5 linked regions of the Ovis aries genome follow. The protein of the gene in region 2 purifies or fractionates together with the protein of the main gene of each other region. This does not show direct contact. Links are inferred from orthologs where the notes say so. Each region holds a gene or a part of one and is shown on either strand. Other genes may lie near its edges.

Region 1 (4,976 bases), on a different chromosome or scaffold from region 2:
TGCTGGCAGCTTTACTCGTACTCTTTCATTTAACCTTACAGTATCCCATGACGCCAGCATTACTATCCCATTGCACAAAGAAACTAAGGAACAGAGGGCTCAAATAGCTTCCCGAGGTCGGTAAACAGCAGGGTTTGGATTCAAAGCCATTTCTGTCTGACTTCACCACAATCCTTACTGCCTTTCTGATAAACCCAATACCTATCATAGATCCTCAGACCATAATTTAGAAGTTCTCTTTTCTAAAGAAAGGGTCAAAAGCCAAAAAATCTTTTTTTTTTTCTTTTCTTTTTTTTTAAATTTTGTTCAAGCAAGCAAGCGATCAACCAAGCTTTCTCTAAGAAAGCCAGATGGGGGAATTCAGGAATATACTTAATTTACCCTGGCTCTGCAAGACTTCATCTTTATTTCTCGACTGTCTCTTCTTCTCCATCATGTCCCATGCAATTTCAATTTAGAGTATGATCACTTCTACAATTTCAAAACCTTTCTCTGTCCACTCTAATATCAAAATCTATCCAGAAGCTGCTTAGCACCACTCTCACACCTCTCAACAAGTCTCTAAGCTTTTATCCTCAAGCCCTCAAAGTTTAGTCTCAAGACACCAGTGTATCCTTTTCAAAGGTTACATAGCAACTCTGCTCAACTGTACCTCTAGCCCAGTTCTCACTATTCTCCCCTCTGCTGTTCTACTCTTGGAATATGGCTTCCTTGCTGTTCCTTGAACAAACACATCATTCTCCTGCTCCAGGGCCTTTGCACTACCTGCTCCTTCTGCTTGGGGCTCTTTTCTCCAAGATATTTGCATGGCACATTCCTTCATCTCCTTTATGCCTTTGCTTACAGCTCACTGTCCAAGTGAGGCTTCTTCAATATCCTGCAAACCAGCTTCCCATCCCAGGATCTCTTGTCCCTCTAGGCGTGTTCTATTTTTGTTTTTAGCCATAGCACTTATTCTAACATACTACACACCAGATTTGTGCATACTGCATCCTCTTTCTAGAAGAGAAGCTCCATGAGGGTAGAAATGCTTTTATTGTGCTCACTGCTATATCCCCAGTACTTAGAACAATGCCTAGCAGACGCAATGTGCTCAGCAAATATTTGCTGAATTAATGTTTTACATGGCTTGCCAGTAAGAAAAACTGATAACCCCAGGTCAACGCACTATGTTTACCCTATGGTTCTGAGTATTCCTGGAGCTCTGATCCACGGTGGGAGGCAGTTATAAATCAGCTTGAGAAGCCTGGAAACAGAGAGCTATTTAGAGGGGAATGACGTAGTGGAGTTCTACATTTCAATCAGTCCACTCTAGCTCTGGGGGATGGATCTGGGGAGGATAAGGCTCTGAATTATGAGTCCCTTCCTAAATATGAGAAATATTTAGGAGACAAGAGGGAAAGATTCAATGATTGGTTGGATTTTGGGGGGGGATGGTGGGAATCTGACTGACCTTTAGGTTATGGGGTTGGGGAAACTGAACAGATAACACAGTGAGTGATGGAGACAGCATAAAGAATTCCTCTTGGGAATGGATCTGTAAGGATGAGTCTCTCCCCCTTAGCTCAACATTCACTTCAGCAGTCCTTTGATAAATAACTAAAGTGATTATGGTAAAAGGCTCAACAGCGGCTACAGAGCAGCCAAATATAAACAAAAAGAATTCTATGGATCATTGCTTTGTTTCTATTTGTCAGAGGTATTGAGCTGGCCCTTAACCAGGCAGAGTCCCTCCTAAAGAAAAAGGAAGGAATGTCTTTTCACCGGTTACAAGTCAGTTCTGTCTCTGAAGACACACACATACCACCATTTCTGTAAGCACAACCAGTGGTCTGGTTTCTTTGGAAAATAACTTAGGAATTGGGCAGTTTTAAAAGGACCCTATCTGGCCTTCCCTGGTGGCTCAGAGGTAAAGAATCTGCCTGCCAATGCAGCAGTCACTGGTTCGATCCCTGATCTGGGAAGAGATCCCGCACGCAGCAGAGCAACTGAGCCCCCAGCGCCACAGTAATTGAGGCTGTGTTCTAAAGCCTGGAACCCGCAACTGCCGAGTCCACGTGCTCCAACTACCGAAGCCCCTGCGTCCTAGAGCCCATGCTCCCCCAAAGAGAAGTCTCTGCAACTGGAGAAAAGCCGGGGCAACAAGGAAGACCCAGCACGGACAAAAATAAATAAATAAATTTAAATTACAATTTCTTTAGAAGGGCCCCACCCCATGCTAAATAACCCTAAACAAAGGTCTACCGACAAAATAACCGGTCAATTTAATCCACCATTGACTGGGCTTGTATTTTACCCTCAAACCTTACCTGGAAAGTTCTCTCGGTTTAGCTTAGGTCTGCGGACAATCACAAAGTCCTTGTCATTTCCTTTGCTTTTCAGCCGTTTTCGTGGGGGACTCTGTGGGTGGCCCAGGTTTGAAAGCAGTTCCTGGGGGATGTTCTCACTGTCCACCTCCTCCTTCTCCAGGGCGGAGACCCCCATGCCTGAAAGCAGTTCAGAAGTCTTGCTAGAATCCCATCCCCACGTGAAACTGGTGGTAACGTTGCTACTCTGGTCGGGTATCTCCTGGAGGTGTTTCCTGCAGAAACGCACAATAGCCCCACGTTCCTTTCAAAAACACGCCCGTAAATAATTCCCAGACAGGCCTAAAGGAAGCTGCAAGCTATGCACCGCAGAAAGCTTTCACAGCAGTTAACTGAACTGCATTTTTACGTGCCGGCGGCGAGTCCCCAAGAATAAAAGAGAAAATAACCGAACACATCGAAAAGGCTTTTCGATTTCCGATCATGCAGAAGGCCTCAAGAATTTCTTAAAAGTGGAGGGAACATACAAGGAAAGAGGCAGGGCAATCACACACTGATTGAAAACAGCAGCAGGAAAGCCCAATAAGGGAAGACAAATAACATCCACGCTGACCACCGCACTAAAGCATCCACCCATCCACGTTTTCCCAAAGAGGCTAAGCAGCCATTCACATTACAGCATTACTAACAATATTAGCCAAGTAGCAAAACACGCGGCCTAAAAGAATTAAGACGGTCCATTCATGTTCTGTCTCCTTCTGCAATCGGTTTACCTGTGCATGGCGTCCGCAGGTTCGGGAGTTTTAAATGCGTGCATTAATTGCAGAGGTGCCCGCCCCCCGAATTCCCGCTTTGGCGCGCGGCGGCGCACTGCGTGCGGCGCACTGCGTGCGGCCCCGGCTTGCTGCAGCGAAACCCGCGAACTCTATCAACGTTCCATCCCAGCAGCGCGCGCAGAATTCTCCAGCCAGCCGGCTCTCCTCCGCAGCCGTCGTCTGCGGCCCCGCTGCCTGCTGGGAATTGTAGTTTCTGCCCAGCCTGGTAGTCCGGCTGCCTCGCCACTACTTCCTTTCCTTGCAGCTTTGCCGCCTTCGAGATACCCACAACCCCGCGCGGCTGCGGGACCGGACGACCCACAGGGTAGGCGGGGAAGCGGAAGTGGGCGGTGCTCCGGCTAACTGGGGAAATGTCAGCTGCTTGACTGGGGTTCGGGTTTCCTTTCTCGGGACCCCCCGACCTTTTGGTGACTGCCGCCGCTGTCGCCAAGGAGTGTGGGTCCCAAACCCTGTAAGGCTGTGGCGGCCGCGGGGTTTCCAGGCCCTTCTGGACGCTGTCCGGCGAGATCGGACGGTGAGCCCGAGGAGGAGAGCGTGAGGCACTTTGAGGTGTGGGGCCGAGCGCGGACTGAGGGGGGCCCCGGAGACCCCGAGAGGCCGCCGTCGCGGGGCCTACGTCCCAGGTAGCTGAGTGGAGGCCGTGGCACGCCCTGCCGGCCAGGTGAGAGGCTGCGGCCGTGGGCGTCACACCTGCTCCCCTCTCTGCCTGGAGCTGCGTACTCCACCCGGGTGAGGGCGGCCCTAAGGACTAGGTCTGTGGACAGGATCCTTTCCTTACGTGTAAAATAGGCACCACGGCAAGAACGCTCGTTTCACAGTCGCCGTCAAATCAGAGGAGGCTCGTGAGAGCGTTTTGTAAACGAAAGCGCGGTTCAAACGTCAGGCGGAGGTTTAATTTTAGGGGAGCAGGAGATTGCTGTGAGTGCCAGGGGAAAGCTCAGCATCTCCGGCAGCCTTGAGAAGTCTCATAAATGCTAGCATGAGAACAAATAAGGTGACTATTGTTTGCAAAAGGCTTTCCGTGCCACGCTAGCGGCCACCAGCAAAACCATTCGATTACTGTCTCAAAAAAAAAAAAAAAAAAAATTCTGTTTGCCTCACGTCCTAAAAGTCAGCTGCTTGCTTTTAGACTATATCCACGGAGAAAAGTTTGGAGATGGTTAGAGAGTGCCATTTTCTGGGTAGGATGACCGTGCGAAATCCATTGTGCAAATGTTCTATAACTGCGAGCCTGGGAAAACAGTGGAAGAGAGAGGGGGAATAACTTCCAACCCTAGTAAAAATGGAGAGGATTTATAAAGTTCAGAAAGAAGCACCCAGCGTCATCACAAAAATACTAGAATATCACTTAAGCATGCTGTGTGGCATACCTTCTTATTTCTTAAAAAAAAAAATTCAATTTACACTGGAGTTAAACCTCCCCCTCTTGAATATCAGCTTGTTTCAGGCTTGGTGCATAGCTTGAAATGGAACCACCTCTTGACAGAGGAGGGCGTTCGTGATCCTTTAGTAGTTGACTCTTGAAACTAGATAAAACTGGGGTAAAGAATGGATCTGCTCACTGATTGATTCTAGTTGAAACTAGATGAAGAATACTAAGCTGAATGTTCACAATTCATTAAGCTAATGTTACATGGAAAATATTTTTAAATTCAGTGTTCTATTTTTTACATAAAGTTATCTTCATGATATTGTGGCTAAGGAGAAAGCAGTAGCCTGCTTGAAGTCTACATCCTTTCTCTTAAAATTGCCAGTCTAGGTTCGATGCAGGATACAGGATGCGTGGGGCTGGTGCACTGGGATGACCCAGAGAGATGGTATGGGGAGGGAGGTG
Region 2 (3,853 bases):
ACTTTCTAAAACCACCAGCACCACCTCGTTTTCCTTCTATTCACCTATATCTGCCTAATGGACTTTAAGAATGTAAATGAACGTAGGTCTTAACTAGTTTTCAGGGTTTTGATTCTTGACTGAGAATATAATCTGCTTCCTTTCTCTCTTGTTGGGGATCACGTGGGCCCCGTAATACAAAACTTCTCACTTTGTGTTAAGTGGTGCGTGTACCGTCCGCAGAGAACTTGCAGGAGTTCTAGGGGATGATTGGACAGATAGGGGTTTTGAGAGCACTCTGTTAATGGAGTAGTATTTGCATCGCAAATCTAAGTGGTTTAAAAACCAGGTCCTGTAATTTCCATGGAAAATAGGGCTATGTAAAAGAAAGTGTTTATAATAAAGCCTGTTTAGTTTTTTCCCCTTGTAAAATTAAAATACAGATACTGTTTTTAAGATATAATAATACTTTACTCATTGGAGCTGTCTTGTAGTGATGATACAGATCTTACCATAAACTTTGAAAACATGCTTGTCTTCCACGTGAGACGTGTCTGTGTGTAATAGTGGGTCTTCCAGCCAGAGCAGTATTTGTATTTCTGACATGGTGTTCTGCTTTACAGAATTCAATTCGTCATAATCTGTCCCTGCACAGCAAGTTCATCCGTGTGCAGAATGAAGGAACTGGAAAAAGCTCCTGGTGGATGCTCAATCCAGAGGGAGGCAAGAGTGGGAAATCCCCCAGGAGAAGAGCCGCATCCATGGACAACAACAGTAAATTTGCCAAGAGCCGAGGCCGAGCTGCCAAGAAAAAAGCATCCCTGCAGTCGGGCCAGGAGGGTGCCGGGGACAGCCCGGGATCGCAGTTTTCCAAGTGGCCCGCAAGCCCCGGCTCTCACAGCAATGACGACTTTGACAACTGGAGTACCTTTCGCCCTCGAACCAGCTCGAACGCTAGTACCATTAGCGGGAGGCTCTCTCCCATCATGACGGAGCAGGACGACCTGGGAGACGGGGACGTGCACTCAATGGTGTACCCGCCGTCCGCCGCAAAGATGGCTTCTACTCTGCCCAGTCTGTCCGAGATCAGTAACCCCGAGAACATGGAGAACCTTCTGGATAATCTCAACCTCCTCTCGTCACCAGCGTCATTAGCCGTGTCCACCCAGTCCTCACCGGGCACCATGATGCCACAGACGCCCTGCTACTCCTTTGCGCCGCCGAGCACCAGTCTGAATTCACCCAGCCCCAGCTACCAAAAGTACACGTACGGCCAGTCCAGCATGAGCCCCCTGCCCCAGATGCCCATGCAGACGCTGCAGGACAGCAAATCGAGTTACGGAGGCATGAGCCAGTACTGTGCGCCGGGACTCCTGAAGGAGCTGCTGACGTCCGACTCACCTCCGCACAGTGACATCATGACGCCAGTCGATCCGGGGGTGGCTCAAGCCAACAGCCGAGTGCTCGGCCAGAACGTGCTGATGGGCCCCAACTCGGTCATGCCGGCCTACGGCGGCCAGGCCTCTCACAACAAAATGATGACCCCCAGCTCCCACACCCACCCGGGACACGCTCAGTCAACATCCGCAGTCAATGGGCGTGCCTTGCCCCACGCTGTAAACACCATGCCCCACACCTCGGGTATGAACCGCCTGGCCCCGGTGAAGACAGCTTTACAAGTGCCTCTGGCCCACCCCATGCAGATGAGCGCGCTAGGGGGCTACTCCTCGGTGAGCAGCTGCAACGGCTATGGCCGGATGGGCGTTCTCCACCAGGAGAAGCTCCCCAGTGACTTGGACGGCATGTTTATCGAGCGCTTGGACTGTGACATGGAGTCCATCATTCGGAACGACCTCATGGATGGAGACACGTTGGATTTTAACTTTGACAACGTGTTGCCCAACCAAAGCTTCCCGCACAGTGTCAAGACGACAACACACAGCTGGGTGTCAGGCTGAGAGTGAGCAAGCGAGCGAGCAGGTAAGAGCACCCCGATACCAAAAGACCTTCTGAAAACAGGACTTTAAGAGAGGAGCCCAGTAACTTGCCTTGTATCTTCCAGGGTTGGGACTTTTTTTATTTTTATGTCAGCTGGCCACCCCTTGTGGAGAGGCATCTTTTATCATTCATTCTCTGCCCTTTTTGCAGCTTATAAATTCTCCTCTGAGCTGAAACATAAGGAAGCTTCCTCTAATGGCTTTAAAGAGTTTCTTTTGACAGAAGGCTGCATCTTCGTAGTAACTCTTAAATAAATGAATACATTTGATACAAATCAAATGCTGAAGGGGTTTTTAAAGTGGAATTTTCTCCCATTGAATGATTTCAGAGCTGTTTGAGAAAGCCCAACCCTCCCCCAAGTATGTCTGTCATCCTAATATGTTAAGTTGAATTGATTTTCATTTGGTTGTTTTCAATGCTTGTGTGTGTGTATGTGTTTTTTCCTAGGCTACACTTAAAAGTACTTCAGATTGTCTGACAGCAGGAACTGAGAGAAGCAGTCCAAAGATGTCCTTCACCCTACCTTTTCGTTTTCTTGATTTGAAAAAACAAAACAAAACAAAACAAAACACACAAAACGCATTTCTTTTTTCCTTTCGTCAGACTTGGCAGCGAGGACACTTTTCCTGTACAGGATGTTTGCCCAGTGTTCGCAGGTTATGTGCTGCTCTAGATAAGGACTGTGCCATTGGAAATTTCATTACAATGAAGTGCCAAACTCACTACACCATATAATTGCAGAAAAGACTTTCGGATCCTGGTGTGCTTTCAACTTTTGTACATAAGCTGTAGCTACAGAATTGTATCTCTGTGCTTTTTTTTTTTTTTTTTTTACTATTCATTTGGTCCAAGGAAAGTTTATACTCTTTTTGTAATACTGTGATGGTCTCATGTCCTTGGTAAGTTAAACTTTGGTTTTGTACTACCTGTGTTCTGCTGAACTGATGAATCACAGAGAACCAAGCTCTCCGTTCTACAGCTCCACTGGACAGCTCTGCATCTGTTCACGGCACCCCATAATTCACAGGAGAACCAGTAGCCTGTTGTCCATCTGCTGAATTAATGGACTTATCAAAACTCTTTTGGGGGGGGGGAAAGATTAAACTCCAGCCTTGTACAGGTCTTTTCTATTTTTTTTTCTTCTTCGTTTGTTTATTTTGTTATTTGCAAATTTGTACAAACACTTTAAATGGTTCTAATTTCCATATAAATGATTTTTGATGTTACTGTTGGGACTTGAGATCATTTTTGGAATAGATACTGAACTGTAATGTTTTCTTAAAACTCGAGTCTACCTTTGTTACATGGTCTGCTTGTAAATTTGTGGAATCTCAGACATTTGAAGCAGCGTCCGTGATTTTCCTTTTGTATTTCTAACTGGACTAGTACTAATTTTATATATGCTTCACTTGTTTGTATACTTGGGGATGCTCCTTGGTGATGTTTTCTGACTAATCTTCAAATCCTTGTAATTAGTACTTGCACACCCAACATTTCTGGCCTTGCCTTAGCAGGAGAGTGATGTATAGTTACGGACATTTTGCGTTTCACATTGAGAACTTGATTTGTTTTTGTGTATGTGTTTTACAGACGTCTGCTTCTGCTGTCCTTGTGAACTAGGCATCCCTGCCCGGCATTGAATCTTCTGATCAGTGCCTTTATGCGCTTTGTTTCAAGTACTCCTGGGGGTAGGCTGCAAAGTATTTGGAGATCAGAAGGGGTGACTCACCTCCAAAACAGTGCTCCTTTCTCAAGCTCGAGTTTTGATCAACTTAACCTTTTTGAGTTGAACTTCAGCAAAAGTTTTCCCTCGTAACACTGTGCTCTTCCTGGTCTAGGCAGAAGTTGGCTTTGTACTTCTGGAGAATTATGTCCA
Region 3 (4,040 bases), on a different chromosome or scaffold from region 2:
ACCTCAATGAGAAGCTCATGCGCCACAACTAAAAAGTAGCCCCCACTCACCGAAACTAGAGGAAAGCCCGTGTAGCAATGAAGACCCAGCACAGCCAAAAATCAATAAATTAAAAAAAAAAAAAAGACCCACGGGAAGAACTTCACTCCCAAGTCCAGATTCCCCAAGTTGGGGGTTGGTGGAACCCAGTTTCCCCTTTTGGGGACAAGTGTCTGCTTATTTGTTCTTTCATGTAATAGCTGTGGACTGGTGCTGGGAAGAGGTCCTCCCTGGGCAGGGCAAACGCCCCAGGATGCTCCTCCATGACTGAGATGTGTTTGTATTGACAATGAAGGGGGTGGCGTGGGCAGGCTGCAGCCCCAACCCAGAGCCTCTTACCTCCTCCTCCTCCTCCCCTTCCCCACGCCCAGAGAAGATCTTCTCCGAGGTGACTCCCAAGTGTGAGAAATGTCAGAGCGTAGTGAAGCCTGGTGAGCCTTGGGGCCTGGGACCCTGCACACCCGCTAACCCCTTCCCAAGAAGGCCACGCTCCCCATCCATCCACCCGACCCTGGTCACCCTCTCTCCCTGACTAGGGAGAGGGGGTGCCATAGCCCCCTGGCCTATTCCCCACTGCCCCATCCACACTCCCGCCCCAGCCCTGGGGTCCTCCTCCTGCTCCTGCCCGTTCTCTCTCCCCCTCCCTGTCTCTGTCCCCTGCTTTTTCACCATCTCTTTCTGTCCCCATGTCTGTCTGTCCATCTGTCTCCCCCTCAGATATCGTGTTCTTCGGCGAGAACCTCCCAGCGCGTTTCTTCTCCTGCATGCAGTCAGTAAGTGTCCCGGCCGCCCCGTCTCGGCCCATGCGGGGGCAGCCTAGGTCCTGCCCTGCGGCAGGTGGCTTCCCCAAGTAGCTGTGGGTGGGCTTGCAATCGGGGGCGGGGGCCGGCAGCTGACCTCACTGGCCGCTCCCGCTTTGTAGGACTTCCTGAAGGTGGACCTCCTTATCATCATGGGCACCTCCCTGCAGGTGCAGCCCTTCGCGTCCCTCATCGGCAAGTAGGTTGGGGGCTGGGGCTGTGGGGGGCTGCTGGGAGGCTGGGGGAGCCGTGACAGGCCCTCACCACTCAGATCACCATCCGCCAGGGCGCCCCTGTCTACCCCGCGCCTGCTCATCAACAAGGAGAAGACTGGCCAGGTGAGTCCTCTTCGTCCTACCCTGCCACCCCCGCACACGAGCCCCACATCACCTCCCCCAGGCCCCCCGGGAACCAGGGGACAGGTTTCTGGGGAAGCCCAGTGTTCTGGGCCCCTCAGCTCAGACCTGGGGATCTTGAATCCTCGGGGTCAGATTCCAGGCTACCCCCACTCCAGGGTTCCACAGGCCTCTGGGTCAGTCACCCTTTTTTATCTTCTTTTTTGTCTATAGTAGGCCTTCGTTGCTGTTCTTGGGCTCCCTCTAGTTGCGGCTAGCAGGGGCTACTCTAACTGCATTGCATGGCGGGCTTCGCATTGCGGTGGCTTCTCTTGTTGCAGAGCGCAGCCTCTAGGGTACGGGCTCAGTAGTTGGGGTACATGGGCTTAGTCGTCCCGCAGCATGTGGGATCCTCCCAGACCAGGAATGGAACCCATGTCCCCTATATTGGCAGGCGGATTCTTAACCACTGGCCTGCCAGGAAGTCCCATTTACCCTTTTGAGGGGATGATAGAACCCCAGCTCAAAGCAACGTAAGCCAAAACAGGAACCTTAGCTTCCTGTGACTGAAGAGTCTGGGCTCGCTGGTCCCCGGGCCAGCAGCGGTGCCATCAGGAGTCACTGTGCCGTGTCTCAGCTCTCTTTTCAAACTGAGGTGACCTCTGTCCCAGGAGGGGCTCCCTCCCGGGGACAGCTGTTTCCTCCAGCAGGCAAAAAACATACTGTGTGGCAGACTCTGTGCTCAGCATTTTCTCTGTGTTAACCCACTGATAGCATCATCCTAGGAGTGGGTGTGGTGATTACCCCTACTCTACAGAGAAGGAAACTGAGGTTCAGAGAGGCCAGGCCACTTGAGTGAAGTCACAGAGCTGGGATTCAAACCCAGGCCCCCTGGCTCCGGAGTCTGTGCTCTGAGCTCCCCCTCCCCCACAGACTGACCCTTTCCTCGGGATGATGATGGCCCTCGGAGGAGGCATGGACTTTGACTCCAAGAAGGCCTACAGGTGAGGCCCGGGCCTGCAGCGGGGTGAGGTAGAGCCTGGGAGGGACAGGGCCCAGGTGGGAGGGAAGGCACGGAGGCAAAGGACAGGCAGAGCCACCGGTGCTGGGACAAGCCTGGGAGCTTTGACTCTTCCCTCGCCCTCAGGGACGTGGCCTGGCTGGGTGACTGCGACCAGGGCTGCCTGGCCCTTGCTGACCTCCTTGGCTGGAAGGTGAGGAGCTATCACCCCAGCTCACCCCGAGCCCAGTCCCTGGATCCCCCTCCCACAGGTCCTCCGACCCAATGACACATGATGACCTCTGACCTCTGTGAACTTTGCCCCCTGCAGAAGGAGCTGGAGGACCTTGTTCGGAAGGAGCATGCAAGCATAGATGCCCAGTCGGCGTCTCGGTCCCCCAACCCCACTACTTCAGCTTCCTCCAGGAATTCTCCACCACCTCCCACCAAGGAGGAGCCCAGGACCACTGAGGGAGAGAAACCCCAGTGACCGCTGCGTCTCCCAGGCAGGACCCCCAGCCTTGGGACCGCTGAGCCCCAAACAGCCCTGGCCCTCCTCTAACTTACAGCTCTTTTCTGGGGAGCTCAGAACATTTCTTCAATGTATTAACGATTCCCTCCCAAAACTGGTGTCCCAGCACCCCTGACCTCAGCAAATCTCTAACATTCTTGGGGGCAGAGGCTTGGGCAGCCTGTCTCTAACAGCCCACAGCCTCTAACCACCCCTACGGCCGAGGATCAGCCCCCCTAATCTCTAACTGCTCACAGGGCCACGGGTACCTCCAAACTGCTAACTGTCCCAGGACAAGAGCCCCAGGGCCCACACGCTCTCTACTGCTCCCAAGGGTCCCTGGTCAAGTAGATGAAACCTAACCTACCCTGGGTTGGGGGTTGTGCCCTCCATACACTCAGTGGGGAGATCCAAGCCTCAAGGACTCCCAGGCCTCTGCCTCCAACTCTGAAAGTGGGTGCTAGGCCCCCTCTCTTGGTCCCACTTCCTATGTGGGGGTGGGCAGATGGTGTTGCTTATTAGAGATGAATTAAAAACAAAAAACAACTAACGATTAGCTGTCTGGCCTCGCTGTTCTTTTCTGGGGCCCCGAGGGAAGCTGCCGGAGGAAGGGGGTTAGATCTCCGCCCGCTAAGGAAACCATCATGAGAAGCAGCGTGAAGAGTGCTGAAAGGTGCCGAGAGCGGGCTCGGGGCCGTGGGAGCCCTGTGTCCTGGCTGTTACCCCTGGACTCCCAGGCACCTGCCAGAGTCCCTTCCTCCAAAGCCGGGTCACCCAAGGCCTGAGCCCCCAGAAAGAGGGAGGAGGGTCCCTTTTCAGATCCCCCCAGCCCCGCCTCTTCCCCTGCCAGCTCAGCTTCCTCTCTCTCTCCGTGAGGAACTTTCACTTCCTGCTACTTCAGGCCTCCCCTCGGAGAACAGGTAGGGGCCCCCAGGGGACCGAGCAGCTGGCATCACCACCCCCCTCCGCTACACTGACCCACAGCCTCCCTGTGGCATCAGGCAGCTGCCCCCGTCACACCCTGCCCAGCACCCCTCATCTCCTTCTGCCTTCTCATGGGGCCCAGGCAAGCCTCTGCCTCCCTCTCCCCACCCTTCCTGCCTGTTCTCCCCTAGGCAGAGCACCTGCTCTCTGTCCCCCACTTCCTAACACCCTGGACTTCGGGACAGTGGGCTGATGGGTTGATTTAGCTGTTTATTATGCATCCCTTATACCCACCCCAAGAAGAAGGGAAGCCCCTGGGAGCAGGGGCCTATTCTGCCCATCGCCCTTTCCCCAGGCACCTAACTGGTCCTGTACTTCAGTAAATATTTGTTGGATGTATGGGCACATGGATGGATGGATGGAAGGACCTA
Region 4 (5,042 bases), on a different chromosome or scaffold from region 2:
GCTAGCAAAGCAATGCTCAAAAGTCTCCAAGTGAGGCTTCAACAGTACGTGAACCGAGAACTTCCAGATGTTCAAGCTGGATTTACAAAAGGCAGAGGAACCAGAGATCAAATTGCCAACATCTGTTGGGTTATAGAAAAAGCAAGAGAGTTTCAGGAAAACATCTACTTCTGGTTCATTGACTATGCCAAAGCCTTTGACTGTGTGGATCACAATAAACTGTGGAAAATTCTTAAAGAGATGGGAATACCAGACCACCTGACCTGCCTCCTGAGAAATCTGTATGCACGTCAAATAGCAACAGTTAGAACTGGACATGGAACAATGGACTGATTTCAAATTGAGAAAGGAGTACATCAAGGATGTATATTGTCACCCTGCTTATTTAACTTAAATGCAGAGTACATCATGAGAAACGCTGGGCTGGATGAAGCACAAGCTGGAATCAAGATTGCTGGGAGAAACATCAATAACCTCACATATGCAGATGACACCATCCTTTTGGCAGAAAGTAAAGAGGAGCTAATAAAGAGCCTCTTGATGAAAGTGAAAGAGGAGAGTAAAAATGCTGGTTTAAAACTCAACATTCAAAAAATGAAGATCATGGCATCCGGTCCCATCACTTCATGGCAAATAGACAGGGAAACAATAGAAACAGTTGAGACTTTATTTTCTTGGGCTCCAAAATCACTGCAGATGGCGATTGCAGCCATGAAATTAAGACACTTGCTCCTTGGAAGAAAAACTATGACTAACCTAGACAGCACATTAAAAAGCAGAGACATTACTCTGCCAACATAGGTCTGCCTAGTCAAAGCTATGGTTTTTCCAGTAGTATGTATGAATGTGAGAGCTGAACCATAAAGGCTGAATGCTGAATAATTGATATTTTTGAACAGTGGTGTTGGAGAAGAATCTTGAGAATCCCTTGGACTAGCAAGAAGATCAAACCAGTCAATCCTCAAGAAAATCAACCCTGAATATTCATTGGAAGGACTGATGCTGAAGCTGAAACTCCAATACTTTGGCCACCTGATGCAAAGAACTGACTCACTGGAAAAGACACTGATGCTGGAAAAGACTGAAGGCAGGAGAAAGGGACGACAGAGGATGAGATGGTTGGATGGCATCACCGACTCAATGGACCTGAGTTTGAGCAAGCTCCGGGAGTTGATGATGGACAGGAAAACCTGGCGTGCTACAGTCCGTGGGGCCACAGAGGCGGACATGACTGAGCAACTGAACTGAACACACTGTGGGGCGCCACTAGAAAGAGCAGGGAGGATCGAGAGAAAGAGAGGAGGAAGGCATCAGAGAATCTATTTTCCATGAGCAAAAGTGGAAGACAGAGGTCATTCTGACTTTCAAATAAAATCTCTGAGGTCAAGGGTACTGATCAAACAACTTGTCATTTTTATTTCCACGTAGAGGGTTCATTCTCTATCCTCGACCCCCAAAATCCTGACTCCCCCAGCATCATCCAACCAGTTACCAGTCCAGTGAATCTCACTTCCTTGTCTCTTGAATCCACCCACCCCTCTCCATCCCCATAGGTGCTGCCTTGGTTCAGGCCCACCTCCTCCGCCACCTGGACCACAGCAACAGTGCCCTGACCAGTCTGCCTGCAGGTCCTTCCTGCCCACTCTAATCAGCACATCACTGCCTGGCTAATTTAAAAGAGATAAAACCATGGCACAACCCTGCTTAAAAATTCCTCAGGGCTCTACTCTTTACACCCACATTTCCAAATAAAGCTTCTTAACATGTCTTAACTTGGCAATAGTAACTGCAACAGTTTATTGTTTACTATCTACTAGTGCCAAGTGGTGGAGAAGGAAATGGCAACCCACTCCAGTGTTCTTGCCTGGAGGATCCCAGGGATGGCGGAGCCTGGTGGGCCATCTATGGGGTCACACAGAGTCAGACACGACTGAAGCGATGTAGCAGCAGCAGCAGCAGTGTCAAGTGGCTAACATCCTCTAATTCACTTCTCACACCCACCCTAGAAGGTGGATTAATGTCTGCCCTTCGTTTTTGTTCTGTTTTTTTTTTTGGGGGGGGGGGGGCGGTGGCGGGGATGTTTGGCTACGTCATGCGGCTTGTAAGATTTCAGTTCCCTGATCAGGGATTGAACCCCGGGCCAAAACAGTGAAAGCCCAGAATCCTAACCACTAGGCCATCAGGGAACTCCCTATTTGCTCCTTTTACAGATGAGGAAACTGAAGCTAAGAAAGGGAGTGACCAGCCCAAGCTCACAAACTTAGCTCAGTGGCAAAGCCAGACATGGCACACAAGTACCTCAGCTTCCAAAGCCTGTGCTCCTCACGCTGTCGCCCACACGATCCTTCATGATCTGGCTTTCCAGAGTTGCCTCTCCCACAACTGGGCATTCCAGCTTGAGTGAACTCCTTGCAGGTCACTCACTGGACAGCCTTCTGTTCACGCCACTCCCAATGTCTGGGATATCCTCCCACCTCACTGCCCTCTTCACCTGACTAATCCTGCTCATCCTTTAGGACCAAACCCTACTGATGCCTCAGCCTGACCTGTGAGCACCCTAAGTCTGCCAGCAAACCCCCTACAACAGTTTCATACTGTAGTGCTATCTCCTTGACTTAAAAAAAAGAAATTAACTCGAGGACAGGGATGTGTACCTTACTCATTTTGGCATCCCCAGCTTGCAGAGCAGTGCTAGGATCAGTACTTACACTTATTCTCTACCATGAGAAACCAGCTGGAACAGAAAAAGGCCCTTGCGGGTTGCATGTGAGGCCTGTACTCAGCTCCTGAAAAGCGTTTCAACATCATGTCACATGAAGGGAGGAGAGGACGCGCCAGAAAAGACACGCCAGTGACAGCAAGACCGGGCAAAGCCAGGAAGAGAGAGCCCAGGCGTCCTTGTCCCCCGTGTGCCCACACAGGATGTCCAGAGCACTCGCTGCCAGGGGACAGGCGGGAATTACTTTGTTAATTAGCAAGAGCTTCCTAGTCGGAAGACCCCGGGCTGAATCAGCCTGAGGGGGACGTGACCGCAGACAGAAGGCGAGAGCCAGAGTCGGTGTGTCTCCCTAGAGGAGGGAGGCCCGCCTCTTGAAGGAGGCTCCTCAGACCCGCCGTGACCCTCGACCTCACCGCCGAGCTCACCCCTCAGGCCCAGGGCTACAGAAACCGACCTCGCAGGACCCCTGTCCTCCTCAACAGCGCGGCTCACTTACCGCCGCCCAACTTCCGGCAACCGCGGCGAAGTCCGCGGCGCGCGTCCCGATGACGCACGTGGCCCCGCCCCCGCAGGCGTGAGGGGGGTGCGCGCATGCGCACGAGGACGCGCTGGTCGGCCCAGTGAAGGAGCCCCTAGCACTCGGCGGAGTGGGAGGAACCTGGCCTCTGGGGAAGGCGGGTCAGCAGGAGGCTGGTCACGCCCCCTTGGGAGAGCCGGGGAACAGCCTCTCTACCAGAGGCGGCAATGTGTATATATGGCCCTCAGGCTGTTAAAAGTGTCCCGAATCCCATGGATAGAGGAGCCTGGCAGGCTATAGTCCACGGGGTTGCAAAGAGTCGGACACGACTGAGCGACTTCACTTCACTTCACTTCCTCCCCTCTAATGATTTGAGGATGACAGGAATTATCACTTCCATTTTCCAGGCAGCATTAAATTTTTTATCACACGGACCCTTAGGGAGGCACGTGTAGAGAGACAGGCCCTTTTTAATGCATTAAGTGAAGTGAAACTCGCTTAGTTGGTGTCCGACTCTTTGCGACCCCATGGACTATATACAGTTCATGGAATTCTCCAGGCCAGAATACTGGAGTGGGTAGCCTTTCACTTCTCCAGAGAATCTTCTCAGCCCAGGGATTGAACCCAGGTCTCCCACGTTGCAGGCAGATTCTCTACCAGCTGAGCCACCAGGTCTCCCACGTTGCAGGCAGATTCTCTACCAGCTGAGCCACCAGGGAACCCCAAGAAGACTGGAGTGGGTAGCCTGTCCCTTTTCCAGCGGATCTTCCCAACCCAGGAATCAAATCGGGGTCTCCTGCATTGCAGGTGGATTCTTTACCAACTGAGCTATCAGGGAAGCCATTTAGGGCCGGATGAAAGTCAACAGTGACCAACCTCCTCTTTCTAAACCAGGTATTTTTCTCACAGCTTCGTGGTATCAAGGGATAAACTTGTTCATTCCAAATTGTTTATTGAGAGTATACTCTGTTGCAAGCATTGGACAGTGTTAAAGACACAACAGTGAGTGTAAACTTAATCTGACATATAAGGCCAGGACTCTAACATAACTCTATAGAATACTATTTATTGATTATCTATCATAGTTCCATGGTTTCCCATCTCTAATCATCACAAAGGTACTACAAGGTAAAAATTATATCATCCCCATTTTACACATAAAAGAACAGGAGACATGAAAAGTTTTGACTTTTTGAAGGTTAAAGATCTTTGGGGCTACGATTCTAGTAGAAACATATTTGACTGCAAAATAAGAAAACAAACTCAGGCTTATTAATGTGCTTAGTCACTCAGTCATGTCTGACTCTTTGCCACCCTATGAACTGCAGCCTGCCAGGCTCCTCTGTCCATGGGATTCTCCAGGCAAGAATACTGGAGTGGGCTGTATTTCCTTCTCCAAGACTTATTGGAGGAGGGAGGGAGTGGGGGAGGGGAGGACTAGAGCAGTGGGGACACCACGCCAACCAAAGCTCTCCAGGCATCTCATTCGGTTCAGTCGCTCAGTCATGTCTGACTCTTGGTGACCCCATGGACCACAGTATGTCAGGCTTCCCTGTCCATTACCAACTCCCAGAGCTTGCGCAGACTCACGTGCATTGAGTCACTGATGCCATCCAACCATCACCCTCTTTTGTCGCCATCTCCTGCCTTCAATCATCCAGCATCAGGGTCTTTTCCAGTGAGTCAGTTCTTTGCATCAGATGACCAAAGTATTGGAGCTTCAGCTTCACCATCAGTCCTTCCAATGAATATTTCGGACTAATTTCCTTGAGGATTGACTGGTTTGATCTCCTTGTAGTACAAGGG
Region 5 (5,052 bases), on a different chromosome or scaffold from region 2:
GAAGAGATGAGAGTTTGTTTTGTTTTGTGATACAACTTCTGTCTCCTGCTTATGCTACTGGCCATGTCTGTGCCATCAGGGCACAGGTAATCACAGTGATCACACAGTATTTCATGAACACCATCAAGTGTCTTTGAGGTACAACATATACAAATGAATGAAGCAATAAGATGTTCATAAGCTTACATATGTCTTTTTTTTTAATCTGAAAGTTCTGTTCCTATTTTGATAGAATATTGACTCTTAACATTTTATATATATCCTACCAACATAGTTGAGAAGCAATTTGAAATATCTTGTGAGATAAGATAAAGTGGGGAGAGAATAGGATCAAGTATGAAAGCCAGGAAGGGTGAGATGTCTACCTAATTAAGCACTAGGAGTGTAGGCGGGAAGAAAAGACCACAGGATTTGTTCACAGACTGATTACCGGGCATCAATCTGAAGGAACGCTTCAGTGATTTCAAGCCTTATAGGCTGAAAGAGATCATCACTTTCAGAAATGAAACAACCAGCTGTAAGGAGAGATTCTCAGTTTAACTCGAGGTACAAAGACTTTTGGGTTTAGATGGGACCTTCCAGTTACATTTTCAAAATTAGAACTGTTTTTTTAAAAGGATGAAACACCTTAAGTTGCGTTAAGTTCAAACAGTAATTGTCACTGTATAGACAGGACCCACTTAAAGCTTACGGACTGATAAACTATAAACTCACTACCCCTTAAGGGGGTAGAAGTGCTTTGTTTCAGAAACAGATGCCTACGAAGTTAGGCTCTGGGTCTGCCATGTATCATACGGGTTCTCAGTTAAGGCTAGATGTGGAGTGAGAGTCCTAAAATTTCAGGAAAAAACAGAAGAGGGACTTCAAGTAGGCAAGGAATTAATATTTTTGGCTACTATGTACACCCTTCACTTTACATCTGGCTATCTTTAATTCTCATCAAAACCCTACAAAATACTTATTAACCATTTTACAGAAAAGCTAAACTTCTCACGCTAGAAGGATCTCAAATTCTTACCCAAATCTACATGTTTGTAGCGGCCAAGTCATGTTCAGCCCAGTTATCTTCATACCACTCCACTTGAGCCGATATACTCATTTTATGAAACCTATACGAGGGAAATCACACATTTGGAGCCAAGCTGGGACCACGAAGCAGGTAGGCTGATCATCCCTCCGCCTCAAAGGTCTTTGCAGGACGCACACATGCCTTTGAGGGACAATCTACACCGCCCTACAAGGGATGGAGAGAGGAAGAAATAGCAATAATCTAAAGACAAAAGCAAAGAGAAAAAGGGAGCCAAAGAGAAGCTGTGCGAATGGGGTGTGGAGGTTGACAAGTGAACCGTGCTTTTGCCTCTATTTCTCTTGTAACTCAGCTGGTAAATAATCCGCCTGCAGTGCGGGAGACCTAGGTTCGACCCCTGGGTTGGGAAGATCACCTGGAGAAGGGAAAGACTACTCACTCCAGTATTCTGGCCTAGAGAATTCCATGGACCGTATAGTCCACGGGGTCACAGAGAGGTGGACAGGGCTGAGCGAACTTCACTTCACTTGTCCGTTAACAAACTGACCGATTACTTAGCACATTTCGGGAAGCTTAGCCTTAACGCCGCTCAGGAACTTAGTATTAACCCTTAGCATAAGTCAAGAAAAGACAAAGGCAGTCGAGCAAGGCGTGCTCTTCACGCAGAAGTGGAAACTCGCGGCGCAGAGCAAAACTTGAACCAACCCGCGGGCACTGATTTGAAGACTGAAAGACAAGTTTGGCTGCGAGACGCGCCGGCCTCCAAGGGGTGGGGCCGCAGCACCCAAGGCGGGGTTTCCTCCAGGCCCACGCCGCCTCCGCCTGCCACGTGACCCGCGGTGTTGTGGTCCGGCCCGCGTGGGTGGCGGGAGCGGCGGGAGGGCGGGGGCGAGGAGCGGCGCGTCACGTGACGGGGTTTAAATCTCCCGCAGCCGGAGCCGCGGGGGCGCCAGTGCCGCGAGTCGAGCGGGAGCAGAAGAGGCGAGGGAGGAGGGCCAGAGAGGCGGTTGAAAGATGGCGGACGAGGCGGCGCTCGCCCTTCAGCCCGGCGGCTCCCCCTCGGTAGTGGCGGCTGAGAGGGAGGCCCCGTCGCCGCCTGCTGGGGAGCCGCTCCGCAAGAGGCCGCGAAGAGACGGCCCCGGCCTCGGGCGGGGCCCGGGCGAGCCCGGCGGGACGGCCCCCGAGCGGGAACTGCCGGCGGCGGCCGGCGGCTGCCCGGCAGCGGCGGCGGCGCTGTGGCTGGAGGCCCAGGCGGCGGCGGCGGCGGCCGGAGAAGGAGACAATGGGCCGGGCTTACAGGGCCTATCCCGGGAGGCGCCACCGGCCGACGACTTCTACGACGACGACGACGAGGGCGAGGAGGAGGAAGAGGCGGCGGCGGCGGCTATTGGGTACCGAGGTGCGCAGGGCGCGGGCGGCCGGGACTGCGCATCCCCCCTCCTCCTCCCGGGGCCCCTCCTGTCGGGTGGTGGAGTCTCGGGCGGGTTGGGGGCTCGGGCCTGGCTCTGCGCCTTCCCCCTGCCGACCTGGGCCTTCAGCCGCGCGCCTGCGGGGCTGAGGGCTGGGCTGCGGGAGCGGCCCGCGGACTCGCTCCCTCCCTTGCTCTGTGCCACCCCCACCTTCCTCCCCGCGGCCCGCCCCAGCGGCCTCGCGTTTTGCGCAGCCGCGGGGCGGGCTACCCTCGCTGTCGGTTTTAAAATAAGTTTCTCTCCCCTCCTACTCCTTTAGTGTATTGCTTTTGTTAAATGCTGTTCGCTTCTCCGCCTCTCCCCGTCCCGCACACTTCAACCTGCAACTTTTTGACTGTCCCTTGCGCCAGCTTTTGCCATTGCCTGCGAAATTTGTTGGGGTTTTTAGGAGGGCCTCTATTTTCAAACTTGTTTTAAATTTTAAAGAGCATAGGTGTTTATAAAGACATTACCCTTCTGTGGTGCAATTAATAGTGGGCATAGGAGAGTAATAGTTTTTTAGACTACTTTGCCGTGAATAGTGTTTTTCCTCTAATCGTGTTCTTATAGTGGTTTTTACAGTAACTGTCTTCGTGTGTGTATATGTAACCCTGAAACACGAATTGACATTTTTCTGACATGCTAAAGTAGATGTGATAGTTGTGTGTCTCGTCATCCTTCAGTGTTTTCATAGTTTTTATCTAGATAGATATGCCTCTCCATTATTTGTACTAATAAATCCAACCAGTGGACCATTTGACTATATGTAAAGATAACGTGTGCATTAGGGACTGGATTAGAAAAACGACACTGTTTTCAAGAAACATAGTTTAATAAGGGAAACGAATAATGCAAAGGTACCTTTGTAGATTTTGCGTTATATAAGAGAGTGCAAGTTGCCATAGCTGTGTTTGCATGACTTTTTGGGTAACTTTTTATTTGGTAAGTTTTATGAACCACTATTTGTGATCGATAAATTCAGTCAAGGTTGCTACTTTTTGTGTTTTGATTAAGTAGACTTATTTCTAGATTTTGATGAAACTTAGCTTCTGAGCAGAATGCCTAAAGAGGATATACTGTTCCTGTGAACGGTGTGAGTTGATCCAGTAGACATTTTTTACGCGGGCAGTATGAGTGCTTTATTCATTGGAAATTGTTGCATCACAATAATTACAGAGCTTTATAATTTTAGATGCAGATTGTTTCCACAACCTTGAGTTACCTTTGGTTTCTTTTGCAGATGACCTTCTGTTTGGTGATGAAATCATCACCAACGGTTTCCATTCGTGCGAAAGTGACGAAGATGATAGAGCCTCGCATGCGAGTTCTAGTGACTGGACTCCAAGACCTCGGATAGGTATGGTTTCACAGGTTAAGAGCTATCTTTTCTCTGATATTTTCTTTTTATGTCGAGGAAAACTATATTTCTTTCTTCCCTTATTGTCTTGTGATGAGGTTCTTAGGCGTTTACTGAGATTTAATGTCAGCTTGGTTTTTAGGGGAAGTCTAGTACTTTGTTCTGTTTTTGTTTGTTAAACAGCATGGGCCCATGGAAGCTGGCCTGTGTAATTTCTCAAAAACCAGGTCCTCACACTTAAACGGTCCTTTCCACTTGTACCCTCCATATGGAATGGTCATCCTCCAAAGTATCTTGCTTCCTCCTTCATATCCTTCTATAATTTTTCTTCTTAACACTTACTGCTTGACAATTTCTGTGTATAACTTTTATTGCTGGTTTCCTGCATTAGAATATAGAGTCCCATGGGGGCCAGGGATTTCTGACTGATTTGTATACTGTTTAGTCGGTGCCTGGAAAAATTTGCCCTCAGTAAATACTAAGTATTTTGATGGAATGGGAAAGTATTTTGAAGTAGAGAATACTATGAGATTTTTATATCGAAGTAGTAACATGACCATCTCAAAATATTCTTTTTCTTAATGTGCTCTCATTTTTCCAGAAATGCCTTGACTATTTCAAGATCGTGATGATTAGTTTCTCTTAGTGTTTATATTGACTGTATTTTTGGTTTTCTTAAGCTAGGAACTGATTAAGAAATTTAGGGCAAAGAATTATTAAAGCTTAGAACATTAGCATTATATGCATCATTGCAAAGACAGGTTAAGATTAAATTGAAGATTATTACTGGGAACATTTTAAAGATAGTAGTTAAGGATAGATTTCATTTTCTTTGTGTTTTTAATGATAAATAGTGTGGGCTTTCAGGATGGGTAAGATCTTTATTGATTTGCAGAGCCCTTTTGTACATCTGTTGTATTTAAGTTATATTTTTTTAGGTTTTAACCAGAGAAATCTAATTCTAGTAGTAAATTCACTTGACTCTTACACATGTTGTTTAGTCACGAAGTTGCATCTGATTCCGCCCCATGAACTGTAACCAGCCAGGCTCCTCTGTCCCTGGGATTTCCCAGACAATAATGCTGGATTGAGTTGCCGTTTCCTTTTCCAGGGGTCTTGTCTACCTAGGGATTGAACTATGGCCTCTTTACCACTGAGCCACCAGGGAATCCCTTTGAAATACATACCTGGCATTTTATAGCTCAGGGGACAGGATATAT

What was found.
Region 1: the proteins of FOXO1 (region 2) and SKP2 purify together in Homo sapiens (affinity purification with western blotting; 4 studies listed by BioGRID). This does not show direct contact. The link is inferred for Ovis aries from reciprocal best matches to the Homo sapiens genes FOXO1 and SKP2.
Region 3: the proteins of FOXO1 (region 2) and SIRT2 purify together in Homo sapiens (affinity purification with western blotting; 3 studies listed by BioGRID). This does not show direct contact. The link is inferred for Ovis aries from reciprocal best matches to the Homo sapiens genes FOXO1 and SIRT2.
Region 4: the proteins of FOXO1 (region 2) and ATG7 purify together in Homo sapiens (affinity purification with western blotting; 4 studies listed by BioGRID). This does not show direct contact. The link is inferred for Ovis aries from reciprocal best matches to the Homo sapiens genes FOXO1 and ATG7.
Region 5: the proteins of FOXO1 (region 2) and SIRT1 purify together in Homo sapiens (affinity purification with western blotting; 5 studies listed by BioGRID and IntAct, with this or other methods). This does not show direct contact. The link is inferred for Ovis aries from reciprocal best matches to the Homo sapiens genes FOXO1 and SIRT1.

What each region holds. Positions count from the first base shown.
Region 1 is NC_056069.1:38,233,147-38,238,122, forward strand, and holds the start of SKP2 (S-phase kinase-associated protein 2), read right to left. Parts: upstream 3,304-4,976; 5' UTR 3,124-3,303; coding exon 3,080-3,123; exon of another isoform or gene 2,996-3,079; intron 2,582-2,995; coding exon 2,310-2,581; intron 1-2,309. UniProt on the Homo sapiens protein: Substrate recognition component of a SCF (SKP1-CUL1-F-box protein) E3 ubiquitin-protein ligase complex which mediates the ubiquitination and subsequent proteasomal degradation of target proteins involved in cell cycle progression, signal transduction and transcription.
Region 2 is NC_056063.1:22,237,041-22,240,893, forward strand, and holds part of FOXO1 (forkhead box protein O1), read left to right. Parts: intron 1-602; coding exon 603-1,937; 3' UTR 1,938-1,959; intron 1,960-2,424; 3' UTR 2,425-3,853. UniProt on the Homo sapiens protein: Transcription factor that is the main target of insulin signaling and regulates metabolic homeostasis in response to oxidative stress.
Region 3 is NC_056067.1:47,962,669-47,966,708, reverse strand, and holds the end of SIRT2 (NAD-dependent protein deacetylase sirtuin-2), read left to right. Parts: intron 1-410; coding exon 411-470; intron 471-756; coding exon 757-812; intron 813-961; coding exon 962-1,038; intron 1,039-1,125; coding exon 1,126-1,177; intron 1,178-1,948; coding exon of another isoform or gene 1,949-2,029; exon of another isoform or gene 2,030-2,089; intron 2,090-2,107; coding exon 2,108-2,178; intron 2,179-2,321; coding exon 2,322-2,388; intron 2,389-2,505; coding exon 2,506-2,664; 3' UTR 2,665-3,235; downstream 3,236-4,040. UniProt on the Homo sapiens protein: NAD-dependent protein deacetylase, which deacetylates internal lysines on histone and alpha-tubulin as well as many other proteins such as key transcription factors.
Region 4 is NC_056072.1:55,258,669-55,263,710, reverse strand, and holds the start of ATG7 (ubiquitin-like modifier-activating enzyme ATG7), read right to left. Parts: upstream 3,267-5,042; 5' UTR 3,216-3,266; exon of another isoform or gene 2,299-3,215; intron 1-2,298. UniProt on the Homo sapiens protein: E1-like activating enzyme involved in the 2 ubiquitin-like systems required for cytoplasm to vacuole transport (Cvt) and autophagy.
Region 5 is NC_056078.1:23,632,617-23,637,668, forward strand, and holds the start of SIRT1 (NAD-dependent protein deacetylase sirtuin-1), read left to right. Parts: upstream 1-1,975; 5' UTR 1,976-2,041; coding exon 2,042-2,426; intron 2,427-3,715; coding exon 3,716-3,832; intron 3,833-5,052. UniProt on the Homo sapiens protein: NAD-dependent protein deacetylase that links transcriptional regulation directly to intracellular energetics and participates in the coordination of several separated cellular functions such as cell cycle, response to DNA damage, metabolism, apoptosis and autophagy.